Schizosaccharomyces pombe: one gene and its partner. The protein of the gene in region 1 interacts with the protein of each later gene in a pairwise test. Each region holds a gene or a part of one and is shown in the gene's direction. Other genes may lie near its edges.

Region 1 (8,094 bases):
ACATGGGGTGGTAGTATGTTTCCAATCGTTTTATTATTTATTTCGGTTTTTTTTTTTATTTTAGGTTTTAAAATTTGCATGCTTCCTTTAATAGCCATACTAATTTATTATTATTGGAATTTACCATCCATTCTGATCATAGTACTGCAATGTATTCTTAGTATTATTTGTTGTTGCTCTCAGCGAAACAAAAAGTCTCATCACATTGAATGTTGTAAATGTTTCGCTAAAATTTGTTGCATCTACTTCAAACCAGAGGTTGTAAAACGACGCATTCGATTATTTAAAAAAAAAAAAAAACGGAAAGTGAAAAAAATATTACGGATTTTGCAATGATCAATGTTAATGACTGAGCTAAAAAATGAGAAAAAAAATAAAAGGAACCTACAGCACCCCGGATTCCCATGTTGTCTCCAACCATAGTACTAACGAGGCCCTCAGACGCTTAACTGCAGTGATCGGACGGGAACTGGTGTTTTCACCTAGGTATGGCCGTAGACAGCACGTTAAGTAAAATATAGAATTTATAGGAAAAAGAAATTTTAATTTTAGTTAGTTAATATTTTAAATTCAGGCTTGCAAAATTCCTGAACTTTGGAGTATATTTACATGAGCAATTTGATCCTTATAAGAAAATGAATATGGAGACATTAGCAACCTTCTAAAGAATAACGGGAGATGCGCTTTCAGGTTTCATTTATGTTAAAAAAGGAAAGTGCATACACGATAAAAACCAAAATAAGCAAATATCAACGCACGTGCTATACAGATGTGGAACGAAACTTAAGTAGAACAAAATGGTAGATACTTTAGTTGATGGTAATCGTAATGATAAGATTAATTTGATGAAAGCTTTATTTTTTTTGGAATGTCAATTTCATTCACTATCAGACAAAGGTTGTCTTTACAGTAGGAAATTTTTAAAAGTACAGCTAGTGGCTACTAAAAGTCAAAATTAAAGGATCTGCCTTTGTATGTATTACAAATTTTCCTATTACCCTGGGAAAATTTTAGATAAACAAACGATACTCAAAGAAAAAAAAAATCCTTTGTGCGTAAAACATTGAACCTTTGCAATGCTACTGATTTTGTTTGAAACCCGAGATAAGATACGAAGGTTGCTATGAGAAATAATGGTTTCGTTCATAGTACAAAAAAATATAGCCTTCAAAAAAAAATAAAATTGATTATGTACATTGTTTCCTAAATAAGAACAATATGGACGTTGTATTCATTGATTATTTGATTCTGGCTGATTGTTTTGCTATTGTTGACATAAACAAGCTATTAAGAATAGAGGAGCAAACTTACTCTGAGACCCTATGTGGGGGGAAATTTATCCATATACTACTACTCCCTTGCCAAGGGACCAACTTGCTGAACTTGAAAGATTTCTCACCCCCACGTAGACTTTATTCACCCACTTTAGAACCATCCCTTCTATATCTACAGTCTCCTACTTGGTGCATCTTCCTCGAATCGCATCCCCCACTTGGAACTGGTAAAAAAAAGTGGGGCTGCAACTTACTCATGATAGAGTAGAGTGCCTAAACTTCCTTATACCCCATCCTCTCTCAATGCATTTGCAAAGGAGTCCTTCTTACTTGGAACCCCTCCCCCGTGATTCAATCTAAACAACCGTGCCCCGCAAAGCACCTGTCGTGACATCACCAGAGTGGAATAAGAAATATCTAGTTGTTTATCCATGTTACAACTGTGCTGCATTTGTCATAGCGATGTTTAGTGGCAGCGATGGTTGTTTTTCATATACCCAATTTCCAGCAACAACAGAGAGACACTGAGAGAATGTGGACGGGCGTTTGTTTGAGAAGAAAAGGGTTACCACTTTATGCTCTATGCTTATTTAGGAAATTGTGGACATGTATAATGCTTAGAATAAGGTGCCTCCAAAAAAGTAACGCGGGGAGGGGCGGTTTCCCTTTCTAAGAGACTTTGACTATTGATAATATCCGAATAGGTGATTTATGCATGCAAACACAGTATGTGGGAAAACTTTTTGACAAAAAAAATGAAATCTTGCGTGTGGCCACGCAAAAAGATATCGAGATGCTGCGAGGTTGATCAACAAAGAAAGCGAAATCTGATAGGTAAGGAGGTTCAAGGCATGATGTGTTTGCAAAGGAGTGAAATGAATGTATTAAAAAAGTACCAGCGTTCGCCAACCGAAATGCGTTTGCATGGGAGACTATTCCTAGGTGTTAACTGACGGGTTTGTTTGCATTTCAGGAGTCATTTGTGCTTGTTCATTTACATTGTACCGTGTTTGTCGGCTTTCCATGGTATAACGTGAGCATTTGTAATATGTAGGCGTTATAGTATGTAATGAAACGGTTACAAAATGGCGTGTAAGAAATTCAACAGGGTATTCATTTTTTTTTCTCTTATTTTAAATAAATATAATTATTTTTTATTTAAAAAAGAATTCGTACGAATGGCGCACGAAAAATCAAGTGACCTTTGTGTCGGCAAACATTTTGCTTCTCCACGAAAAGAGAAAAGGAAAGTTTTCGCATACTATGAGGAATGTTTGTTCCCTCGGACATGAGCTTGAGTCTCCGTAAGAAGTATTTCTCTCTTTCATATTTTTCCCATCTGTCTATTTTATTTTTATGTTTTTCAGTTTCTTCTTCTTCATCTTCTAATTTCTTTCTTTCTTTCTTTCTTTCCTCTTTCCGTTTCTACTTCTTCCAAACTTTTACTTATTCTCATGTCTTTTTCCTGCCTCGCCTATTCTTACATTCTCTCTCCTCGCTTCCCCTCGATCCGTACTCCATGTGCGTAAATCTCTTTAAGCGCAATCCGTTTTTCTTCCCAAGCTCAAGCCCAATCCCGAGCTAAAACCAAACTGAAATTTCTTTACTCCCTTTTACTTCTTTAAAGCAATTCTCTTCTTTCTTCTTCATACCCTTCGGAACCTCTTCTTCTTGAAATTCCCTTGTTTACTCTTCATTCTTTCAAATTACCAAGTTGACTAGTTGCCATTGCCGCAATCCTTTTACTATTCGGAGTGCCTGCAACCGATCTCGCAAAACTCGCTTTCTTTGTTCGTAATCTCCAAACTCCGCTCTTGTTACTTTGACCGTTGAAGTGTGCATCGCTTCCATTCGTGTAGCACATGATAAGCTATCACTTTACTCGATGCTTTGTACTCTTTATCCCTGGTACCTCCTCTACTTCAAATCTTTCCCATTTACCGTTACTCCATACACCCTAGGAGGATCGTTGTCACATTGATTTACAGGGTTTATCAAGGAGTCATCGTTACCCTTTGTTGCTTGTTTGCTTGCTTGTTTGAGTGCTAGCCATGCTGGGATTAGCATGACTCAATCCAATCGCTGGTTGTATTGTTGATTTTCTTTGTTTGAAAATGGAGCAAAGCCCAGGTATACCCCTCTCGCATCACTTACTTTATATAAATCGTGTTAGCCCCAAAATTGGAGTCGCATAAATCATTAGTATTTACATTTAAGTTGTGTCAGGCACAGCAGCAGTATTTTTAATTTTTTCCTTCCTTCTTTCTTTCTTTCTTTCTTAGTATATCTATCTCTGAATATACTTGGAATAAAGCAAAAGCTTCGATAAGTTAAGATATAAAGGCTTATTTTGTAATTTGTTTTTTTTTTTTTTTTTTTTTTTCTCTCTCTTCTTCTTCTTTTTCTTTTGCTATCTCTTCTCTCCTCATCTAGCTCAATTCAGAAGATTACATGTCTATCTACTCCGCAGTCTAACTATCTCTATCTGTTTGTGCGTTTCGTTTTCTGATTTTTGTTTTAGCTGTTTCTTCAATTTCCAGCTTTTAGACATTATATACTTTACCTTTTTGTTGTCGTTCTTCTTGTTTACAAAAAGAAAATCGAGTTCTTGTTATTAAATTTTTTATTCCAAGATTTAGTGTTTAGTGTGTTTTTTATTTCTTTAAAATCTCTCTTTCTTCTTTCACGTTCACGTTGATTTGACTATTCCTTCTCAACATCTCTCATTTTCTTTATCCTTTCCCCTCTCCTCTTCTTATCAGAGCAATTCCGTTTCTCTCTTCTCATTTTTACCAGTCCCTTACTTACCAATTTCTGTACTTCCGTACCCATCATGTTTTTGGAAATAATCCTAGATTCTGCGACGTATAGCTTTGACCGTGTAATCACCGGAAAAATTTGCTTTGAAACAAATGCCGCTACCTCTCCTCGTTCCTTTCAAATTCAACTTCGCATCAAGGGTTATGCTGTTTATCATCATGGTTTCTTGTCTTCTCCTTCCCATAAACATCCAACAACTGCTTCTGCCTCCGATTCCGATGAAGCTACAGAAATTTTTACTCATTCTCAGCCTCTTCCTATACCAGCAGGTCCCTCTTCAAAGTCTCATGCCATTGACTTCAAATTTAAATTTCCTTCTAAATCCGCCTCGTCTCTTCCTTGTTCCAAGTCCAATGATTCCATGGTCAACATTTGCTACATGCTCAAAGCCACTATCAGTAAGCGTTATGCCTTTCTTGGCTCTTCTCAAAGTGCAAAGGCTGAACTCATCATGGTTCCTCCAAATTTGGCCGGTAAACCTTTGAGTGCTAATTCATCGTTCGGTTCTTCTGCTAAGACATTCCAACTTCCGGAATTTGATTCCGTTACTCCTTCTGCATCTCTCTATAAACAACCTTCCTTCAATTCCAACCCCGCTCCCATTACCACCTCTTCTGCTACTCATACTTCTCAATTTTCTACATCTTCTTCTTCTTCCGTGAATTCCGTTCATACCCCCGTTATGGTTCCTAATCCCTACTTCCAGTATAATTCATCCATGACAGCTCCATCTTCATCCTCTTCCTCAGTAGCTCCTTTCGTTCCCCGCCGTCAATTTTCTGTTTCTTCAGCCTCAGATCCACCTCAAACTCCCATTTCCATGTCACCCCCCATTCCACCTACTCCTTCTCAGTTTTCTGCTTTTATGTATCAAAATCAGCAGTCATACCTCAGTCCTCAGTCACATTATGAGAATCCTCTTTCCATATCGTCACGTCCATCGCCTTGCTGCCCTAGTACGCCTAGTAGCGCTGTAACCCTATCCAACGGTTTTGACTCGCAATCCAATGCTTATAATAATTCGGGTACCGGTCCTCCGATGCTTTATAAATTCCCTCAGCGTTCTTACACTGCCCCGAATACCTCTTTCAATTCTCAACGTCGAATGTCAAGCATTACCTCACTTCCGACTGCCTCGTTTTGTCCTGTTAAACACGGCGTTTCACCTCCATCTTTGGCAGGAAATCAACCTAGTCCTTTATCTTCTCCACTCACCAATTCTAATGTTTCTCCTTCTACCATTTGTTCACCAGACAACAACGTCACCTTTGTCAATTTAGCACCTGGTGAGAAGTTGACCTTTAAGATTGAACCAAACGACCTTATGGATGAAGAAGAGGTGGTTGAGAATTCCAATATGTACAGTATTCCTGGTAAGACTGTTGCTACAACAGTTTGTCATTCGTCATCTTCTTCCGGTGACTTTTCAGCTCTTTCATGTCATAGAAATCTATCATTTTCTGAAAGCTTGCCTACTGCTGAAGATCAAGTTCATAATAATCACTGTGCCGTATCGCCTTCCAGAAGAAGTTCATCCAATGCTCTGTATCTAGCTACTTTGCCAATGGGTTATGAACGATCTAATTCCGTATCATACTGTTCAGATTCAAGTCTTAGCTCCCCTTTGCCTGACGACAATATGCTACAAGATCCACACGCTTTGAACATGGCGTATGCTAAAGAATTCGATGTTCTTATCAATGAAGTCTTACAGTCTCTTTAATTATTTATAACAGACTTCCTGAATTACGAGTCTTTATAACAACCACTTTTTTTTTGACAATTGAGATGCCATCTCCTATTAACTTTTGGATAATGCTTTTAATTATACATGTCCAAATATGGACTGGAGTCAATAACTCGGCATTTTTATATTATTTTATTTTAATATCATATGCATCTTATGTTTTTTTTTTAACTATTTCGTTGTAGTACTTGCTTTGAGATACATAGTGTCCATGGTGTCTGCAACAAATACAACCGCATCTGTTTTGGCTTAATTTAATGATTCTTAGTTAATTTTAATTACTTTTTTTCTAATAACTTATTTTTTTATTTATTTCACAAGCGTACTAGTAATATCATTTGTTGCTTGAATATTATGTTAATGGCAAAATGGTAACATGCATTACATCCTAAAGAGTGAGAGTAGTAGCTGTGTTTACGATATCATCTTTTATCTCTTACATCTTCGGCATTAAATCAGGTTGGCTACTGGCTAACGAGAAGTGTACATGTATTTTAGATTTTCCTTAAACAATTTGCTGAAATTAGCAATTTGATAAAATGCTTCATTTAGGGCATGACGAGAATATATATGTACATAAAATTTTAAGGGTATTTGTAATGATGCGAAGTAACTAAACTTTTAAAAAACAATATGTGATTTGATTTTTTTTCTTTTAATATCGTGTTCCATTATAACCCGAATCAGAAGATCCATCGTCATGATACTCTTCGTCGCTAGCCTCTCGACTTTTGGAAATGTTGTCATCCTGAGTTTGTTTTCTTTGCTCTTCTTCTCGTTGAGCTTGCATAAACAATCTTGCTTCATCATCGGGAATAGGTTCATCTTGGCATTTGGCCGCATAATCATTTCGTATTTGCTCGGCTCTCATTTCATATTCTTTAGTTAGGCGCTGATAACGAAGAATTTTTCCAGCATAAGCTTCTCTTTGTGCTGCAATTTCATCAATCCAAGGTTTTTTACCTAAATCATCAAGCTGGCGCCAAGTTTTCCCTAGTTTGGCACGTGTTTCATTAATAGTAGCCTTCGCTGTACTATCTCCTGTTAACCTTCGCTTGTCTTCATCAGCAAGTGCACGGCATACATGCCACTGCATTTTTTGGTAAAGTAAAAAGGGATTTGCATTCGGCTTGGAAGGAGGTTCAGGTAAATAACCAAGAAGTTCAGTTACAAGCTGTTCCTGTTCTTCCTTATGCTCGTCAAGTCTTTCCTGCTTTTTCAACCTATATCTTGCCTGATAAGAAAGGTGACGCTGTGCTTCAGCATTGGGATCAAAATTATTAACTTTAGAGTTTCGCAAAAACTGATCCAATTCTTTGCGAGAGGTTTCTCCAATGATAGGTATGGTTAAGGAAATTGGAGCCAATGAATCAATAATCCCTGTACATACGGAAAGGCCAGATAAAAAGGATCTTTGTAATGTCCTACAGCCTACGCAACTGAATATATAGTCTCCAGCAATATGCAAGCGACCCAAATTATACGATAACTGACTTTGCCTAAATCTTTTTTCATATTGCTGCTTATCATTGGCAAAATTTGGATAAGAATTTAAGCCGTCATAGACACCATTTCTCGACCAGTTTGTGACCCAAGCATCTAATAAATCAGCTGAGCTGTTTGAATCATTTTGAAAATGATCTACTATTAGACTGTGTAATTCTTGAATTAAGTGGGAGGTCTCGTTAGAAGAAGAACTTGTCATTTGTGGATTGATATCCGCTACTAATATTGGGACACCAGTTTCAGGAAGCATATTCCATATTCTCAAAACAAAACAAGATTTACCATCATTCTCATCATTGTTCATTTCTTGACTTAATGATTTTGGTATAATACCAAATGATCTAATGTTCTTTCGCCAAAAAGCAGCTGCATAACGAAGAATAACCTGCTCAATGTTAACTTTATAATTGAAAAAAAAATAAATAAATAAAAACCTACCTTTTTTCCGGGTTTGAAATCTATACTTTTTATGTTTTCAGTCACGAAATTAGGAAGACCTGGTGAAAACTCTATATTTGAAGAAAAATGAGAAGGAGAGCAAGCAATTACAACTTGGTCAACCTCATAAGAAGAGTTGTCCTTACAATCAAGGGTACATTTATCATTTTCAATAGTTACCTTAGATACAAACTTCTCATAATGAATATTTAAGGGAGATGGATAAGATTGTAATGCCCATGGCAGTTGAGATAGACCTCTTCTAGCAACTTTTGGAATCAAAATATCTTTGGAGAAGTCTGTATCAAC
Region 2 (7,646 bases), 4.1 Mb from region 1:
TCCTCTTAGGTTTCTGTTCTTTCCTCAAATTCTCAATTGACATTTGTTGGTGATATAAACAACCATAGAGATAGAAGCGGTTTCTCAGGCCTTCATTTTTTTTAAACCTCAAAATTTAACTTTTGAACAATTCGTCACGTACATCAAACATCATAAACGTTTACGAAACGCATTGTCCCAAAAATAGTAAACTGGCTAAGCAATAAAACAAAAAATACACATATGTTTCTTATAAGACCTTTAATAAGAAAGCCAAAAAATATTTACTCAGCAAAGCTTTAATCTAACCATTGTTCACTGACTCTCGCTTTACTGAAGCAACATCGCTAATGATCATTTTACGTTTAAAAAAAAATAGAGTGTATACGAAAGCAAAACAAAACAAACAAAACAGAACAAAACAAAAATAATGTAAACCCAAAGTATAATCAAAAACCATCATCAGCCTTAAAATCTCTTATACATGCATACAAATCTTTTGGAATAGAATAAATATATCGCTTTTACTCTTTTTTTGTTCTGAATTCCCAACCTCTTTTTAATTGCCAAAAGTTATTAATGCTTCCTTCTTACTTGTCTTCGAGCACTTCTACAACCGTGGTACACACATATTTACCGATTTATACGTGATACATTAAAATCGAATGCGGCGTTTACTAATGTTTATAAACAAAAACGTGAGGTTGTCTACATTTACCTTCTCCACTTTTGCGCATAAAGCATTGTTTTCAAATCACTCAATAAATGCGATCTAGTTTGATCGTTGGCTAATTGGATTTCAGTGGGGAATTTTAATTGCCGAACAGCTTTATAGTTTATGTGAAAAGAAAAGAAAGTGAGCAAGTTGCTAATATTAAATGATGTAGTTATCTTTCATGCCAGAGAACAATCTGGATGTCAAACGACCTCTGTGTAAAACGCGCAAATATAGGAGACGCATGCGCTGAATAAGGGTTGAAAGAAGAAACACTGTTAAAAGAGGGTTTTGCATTGGCGAAAAAAGATGTATGGAAAAAAGCACGCGTAAATAACAAAAGAAATCCTTACCGAATTATACAGCAAGGTGGAGATTACTACACTAATGAAGGCAAATAAAAAATGTGATTTCTTTGACTTGTCCATGTTTTTCGGGATGGATACAACGTTGTTTTTTATCTATCATCTTTTTCAAACTTTCAAAAGGACTAACTTACCTTTACAAGCTATACACTAATTACCACTGATTTGAATAAATAGCCTTTTGCTTCAGTAGACAAAGCAAACACCATAAAAGAAAATGCATTTAGCGTTTCTCGCTATTTACTCTATCTAACGCGAGTCGCGTTGGCTTTCAATCTGTCCAAATTGGATCAGTTGTCCCGCTTTTTATGGGATTTTTTTTCCATTATCGTCCTCTTATATTAGAGCTTACTGACATCGCATCATAACTTTAGATAGAGTAACGAAAGCCGACCGATTTCTTTGTTCCTATTTTAAAGTTTCTTTGTTTTACAAACCCTTCTCGAGCTAGCCCCTCAGGGGCATTGCAAAAACGTTCACAGTAAATGCCTAACAGTAAAGGCTACTGAAATTTTCATCGTAGGTCTATAAATTTCGTTGATTCCCTTTGTTTTCAACGCTTTGTTTTCGCCACTGAAAGCTGCTGTTGAGATTCTTTGTTTACTTGGCTTACTTCGTTTCTTTGTTACTCTTCCCACTTTGTGTTACACGGGACAAAGGCAGGGGTAGCATAAACAGTACGTCCCATTCAATCAAGCATTCTCCCAGTAATTGTCGTAATATTTGCGAGCAAATAAAGTCCTTTTTGACTTTGTGATTTCTTTGAAATAACTTCTTTGTTCTCTAATTACTGTATCTCATTATAAAGCATCCAAGCCCTCTCATTATTCCCAACATACAATCCATCCTTCCTCCAGCAATCCGGCCGGACAGATTGTTGTAATTATCTTTACAGAACTATTTTGGGCTGGCTTTTTGATTTGTACTGAAAAGCATCGCATTGCATTGCATCGTTTTTGTTTTGTTTCGCTGCTGCCATTTAGGCTGTCGTATATTTTGTTTGTCTGAAACTTAACGTTCCTTTGTAATAGAGAAAGCAAAAAATATATACCCCATTTTAAAAAAGGAAAGGGAAATTGCTTTTTTTTTTTTTTTTTTTTTTTTTACACCTCTAGTTAGTTGAAAAACCATATGGAAAAAACTTAAGTTTTTATACATCGTGCATTTACTTCTTTTCCATTACTCCATCCTTGCCAATTGTTTCTCTTACCGTTCGCATTTTCCATCTTAATAGGACACACAGCTGCCATCATCCGCGCCAATAAACCTATCGACCGTAACAAAACATTGATACGTTTATTTATCTAATTCATTTCTTTCCTTCTTAAAATCCCCACCCGCATCTTTGTTACCTTTGAACGCAGTTGCTACTTCTCTTTTCTTTGTTTGTTTGTTTATTAATTACTTGTGCCCACTCCGAGACCAACCATCGCTTTCCCATTCCTTGTTGAAAATAGCCCATAGTAGGCATTCGCAAAGAAAGTTCAAATTATATCTTTTACCACATTATCTACATTTTCTGGCTGTATTCTTGAATCCTCATTTTGATCTTTACCAATTTTTCTTGAATCGTTATTGTCATTCCCTGATATCTTTTTCTCTTCTTTGTCCTAGAATCGATTCCTTTCTTCCCCTTTTTTCGTGTGCTTCACTTTTTAATTCCTTTTTTTGCAACCTAACTGATACGTATATATACATTTATATATATACGATTCCAATCCATTTTCTCTTCATATACGCATATACATTTTTTCTTGTATATATGTGTAAAGTTTCTAATCGATTATTTTAAATTTTTACTTGCGCTTTTCTTCTGTGGTGACAATATCCCATCTTTTTCTTTTTTTTTTAAAAAAATTAAAGGGTAGTTTCCTAGTTTTATCCCGAAAATTTCTCCTCCTCTAACGTTTGTTATTCTTTTGTTAATTTTATGAAAGACAAGTTTGTTTGTTCAAATCTTGGTTGTTATTCTTTTCGTTTGATTATATACATTTGAACGACAATTGTGATTTATTGTTGATTTTTTCTTTTCATTTCATTATTCTTTTGTTCTTTTGCATTTTCTCATCGTTTGTTTGATTTACTAACAACCATCTAACCCCTTCCTTTCTTTTCAACTTTCTGGTCTTTTAAAGTTTGTATTAACTTAATCCTTTGCAGTTCCTTTCTCTCCCTTTCTTACCACTTCTAAACAAAGTTTTATAAGTTATTAGTCATTAAGTAATTTTTTTTACTCTTTATCTATTTTAAGGATTATCGGCCAGCTTTATTGTTGCCGTTTTAACACATAAATGATTATGGAAACCGAATCACCTTTATCAATCACCTCCCCTTCTCCATCTGATTCAACTTTTCAAGTTGATATGGAGAAAACAATGCATGCTTTGCCCTCAAGTCTTCTTGACTCACCATTACTCTCTACTAACGAGCATTACCCTCCCAAGAGTACTTTACTTTTGAGTGGTCCTTCACCCATCAGAAATATTCAACTATCTGCTACCAAATCTAGTGAATCAAACTCAATTGATTATCTTACGGATACTCAAAATATCTTCCCCAACTTTGTTAATAACGAAAACAACTATCAGTTTTCAACCGCTCCTTTAAATCCTATTGATGCTTGTCGAGTTGGTGAACGGAAAGTATTCACTACAGGTAATGTTTTATTGTCAGCTGATCGACAACCTCTTAGTACATGGCAACAAAACATTTCTGTTCTCTCAGAATCCCCTCCGCAAAATGGCATTCAAAGTTACATTTCAAGTTCTGAGCAAGCAGCTCAGGCACTAACTCGTAAACCATCTGTTACCGGATTTCGTTCTTCCTCGCTTAACTCTAATTCTGACGATATAGATATATTTTCTCATGCTTCTCGTTACTTGTTCGTTACTAACCTTCCTCGTATTGTTCCTTATGCTACTTTATTGGAGCTTTTTTCAAAACTTGGAGATGTGAAAGGAATTGATACATCTTCATTGTCTACGGATGGTATATGCATTGTTGCTTTTTTCGATATTAGGCAAGCAATACAGGCCGCTAAATCACTGCGATCTCAGAGATTTTTTAATGATAGATTACTGTATTTCCAATTCTGCCAAAGAAGCAGCATTCAAAAAATGATTAATCAAGGTGCTACTATTCAATTCCTTGACGATAATGAAGGTCAACTTCTCTTAAATATGCAGGGAGGTTCTGTTCTGAGCATCCTTCAACTGCAATCTATACTTCAGACGTTCGGTCCACTTCTTATTATGAAGCCTTTAAGAAGTCAAAATGTTTCACAAATTATTTGCGAATTCTATGATACAAGAGATGCATCTTTTGCATTAGATGAATTGGATGGAAGAATTATTCATAATTGCTGCCTTCAAGTCGCTTATTACGATGCAATGGCTGATTCAGTTAGCACCTCTTCGGCCTCTAGCCTCTCTGTTCCAAGAGGATTTAGTGGGATGTTAAATAACAATTCTGAATGGAACAACTCTATGACAATGTCTTCTAACCAAGAAACTCCCACTGCTGCTAGTTGTGCTGTTTCAAGAATTGGTTCGAGTTATGGAATGTCGAATAACTTTGGATCCGTTCCCTTAGGACGCACTGAATCATCTCCAGCTTGGGGAACAAGCGGATATTACGATGTCTCTTCAACTAGCCCTGTTGCTCCCAGTGATCGAAATCCTTCCAGGCAGTATAATTCGATAAGGTATGGTTTAGATGTAAATCCTATTGCACCGCCAAATTCCTCACGTCTTAAGCAAAGGAATAGTGATTTACTGAACGGAATTAATCCACAATGGTCACCTTTTTCCTCTAATACTGGTAAAGTCTTTGATTCACCAACAGGTTCTCTTGGTATGAGGAGAAGTTTAACTGTTGGTGCAAATGCATCATGTAGTAATCCTACAAATTTAAGTTTTGCCTCACTTACTCTACACGACTCAAAAGCAGATTCTACACTATCTGCTTCTTCTCTGAATCCGGACTTGAATCTCCAAAGATATACTCCTACTGTTGAAAAACATGCTTCAGATAGAAATTCTGTCGATTATGCACAAATTGCGTCTGGAATTGACACAAGAACCACGGTAATGATAAAAAATATCCCGAATAAATTTACCCAGCAAATGCTAAGGGATTACATTGATGTTACCAACAAGGGTACCTATGATTTTCTTTATTTACGGATAGATTTTGTTAATAAATGCAATGTAGGATATGCGTTTATAAACTTTATTGAACCTCAATCTATCATTACCTTTGGCAAAGCTAGAGTGGGTACTCAATGGAACGTCTTTCACTCTGAAAAAATATGCGATATCAGCTATGCTAATATTCAAGGCAAAGACAGGCTGATTGAAAAATTCCGAAACTCGTGTGTTATGGACGAGAACCCTGCTTACCGCCCGAAAATATTTGTAAGCCATGGACCTAATAGAGGAATGGAAGAGCCTTTCCCTGCTCCCAATAATGCACGTCGTAAACTAAGATCTATTGCTAGTGCCCAACAAATAGGCTTGTTTCCTCCAACTGCAAGCAAATGTTGATTACGAAAGAGATCCTGTATTGTTTATGTTTACCTATCGCTTTGCTTACCCTTTCTTTTCTATATTTTATTTTTGTTCAATTCCAAAGTATATTATGATTGCTCCAAAAACTTCGGATGTTTTACAAATTGCAAGAATTTGCCTGCTTGTGTAAATTATATTCACTTCAAATATATGATGTTAATTTATGTTTCCAAATGGGAACGTTTTACGAAAGTATACTTATTCGATTTAATTATTAATAATGATTGATCATTTTTTGTATACGAATTTTTATGCCATAAGTTTATTATGATCAATGACGGCTCAATGCTAAATTTATGATTGCCTCAAATTTTATGTGACAAAGATCTAGTTATAGTGAACGTGCTAAAATTAACTTGTATTTTGACAAGATGGTCAACTTCACTCTGAGTATCGATATGTTTTATTCAAAATACATACTCTTACTTGAGACCTGTTTAATAAATGCCACATTGAAAAAAATGTTTAATTTTATAATTTATGCAAATAACGAGTTAAGGACAATTAAATTCCCCTTAACACAACTATTTAATCAGATAATTTCAATTGTACTGCTAGAAAATCTTCTCTCTTAAGTAACATGCTACTAAAGTCACATAAGATAGCAGTTATCGTACAAAAATGTATCTCTTATTGAAATATACGAGCTTAAAATCAGCTAGCGTTGCTTTGCTGAGAGTATATCTTCTTGCTATTAATTCCTTGTATCATTTTGGACTTACAAATAAACTTGTTAAAAAACATTCACTGTTTATTGCTTGAAGAGTTTTCAAATCTTCTAAATGTTTTCGGATCAGGCCTTGTGGTGAATTTTTATTATTAATAATAGATTGGGTAATCTCGGTTTCAATTCCATCGAATATAAAATTATCTTCAATCAATTTATATGGGCAATTTCATAGTTTATGCTTAATTTTGCTATACTAATACGGTACACAAGCATTTGATATTGTGAGATAGCGATACATTCAGTTAAAGGGTTAATCCATCTAACAGGGTGCAGTAGAATAGAGTACGCTAAAGTGGCAGAATGTTAACACTAGAATATTGTGCCATACCCAGTCAATTACAATATCTAACAACTAATATTTCCAAGCACGTATAAGATTAAATAACATTATACGATTTAATCTATGGGTACTTTCTTTCTTGGTTATCAATCAAAATGCTGGGAAGATTAAAAGATCAATTGAACATGACACTGGCCCAAGGCCAGGAAGAAGCTAAGAATCGACGTAGGCAGTTTCAAGAAGAAGATCAATTAAGAAGAAATAATAAATCTTCTAATAAGCTCTCTCAAAATGAAGAGGACGCGAAAAATATGGACTCCGTCGTACAAAAATTGAATGAACTACAAAATAACGTTGTAGCGTTTCAAAAGCTTCTACAGGAGAAAACTCCGTTGTCAAGTATTCAAGACTTAGAAGGATTCCGTGAATTTATGGAGAATTTAGAGCATCGTTATGAAATGACAGTTAGCGAAGTTAGGAGATTATCGCATGAAGTGAATGATTTACAGACTGATCGGGAGAATTTAAAACATCAGTTCGAGGATCAAATTGAAAAGCTGAACTCTGAAATAAGTAATCAAAACAGTTTAATTCTACAGAAAAAAGATGAGCTAGAAAAGTCAATACAAAGATGCTCGGAACTTGAAGAGAAGATTAATTCGTTGGAAAGTGCACAATCCATTGAGCAGGAGGTTATTTCCAGTTTGAAAGATGATAAAACAGTAGAGACAAAAAATGACGTTCCCGAAGTTTCAAGGCCCTCAACTGATACTATAGGTGTCAGCAGTGCTTTATCAAAGAAGAAGAAGAAAAGGAATCGTAAAAATCAAAAGAAAAAGTCAACTAAACAAAATATAGAAGCGACTACAGAGAATGATGCGCTTTCCGAGTCCATTAGTACGCCTGACATACAAAAGGTAGCACAAAGTGAAGATGTAGATGCAGAACAAGATACAGTTGCCGATAGTAAAGAAGAGGAACGAAGAGACATAGCTAATGATGATTTGAT

What was found. The genes of interacting proteins can lie anywhere in the genome.
Region 2: the proteins of ste7 (region 1) and mei2 interact in a two-hybrid assay, tested with the Schizosaccharomyces pombe proteins (one study listed by BioGRID).

The regions. Positions count from the first base shown.
Region 1 is NC_003424.3:448,933-457,026, reverse strand, and holds ste7 (meiosis specific arrestin family membrane adaptor Ste7), read left to right. Parts: upstream 1-3,465; 5' UTR 3,466-4,107; coding exon 4,108-5,817; 3' UTR 5,818-6,167; downstream 6,168-8,094. Other genes in the region: lsd2 (putative histone demethylase SWIRM2), read right to left, coding at 6,497-7,732, 7,786-8,094. UniProt on the Schizosaccharomyces pombe protein: Has a role in promoting meiosis whereby it is involved in establishing the mating pheromone signaling pathway. It also has a role in suppressing meiosis until the conjugation process is complete.
Region 2 is NC_003424.3:4,508,997-4,516,642, reverse strand, and holds mei2 (RNA-binding protein Mei2), read left to right. Parts: upstream 1-1,617; 5' UTR 1,618-3,350; coding exon 3,351-5,603; 3' UTR 5,604-5,660; downstream 5,661-7,646. Other genes in the region: grp1 (GRIP domain-containing protein), read left to right, coding at 6,793-7,646. UniProt on the Schizosaccharomyces pombe protein: Crucial for commitment to meiosis but it is not sufficient itself for the commitment. May be a splicing regulator.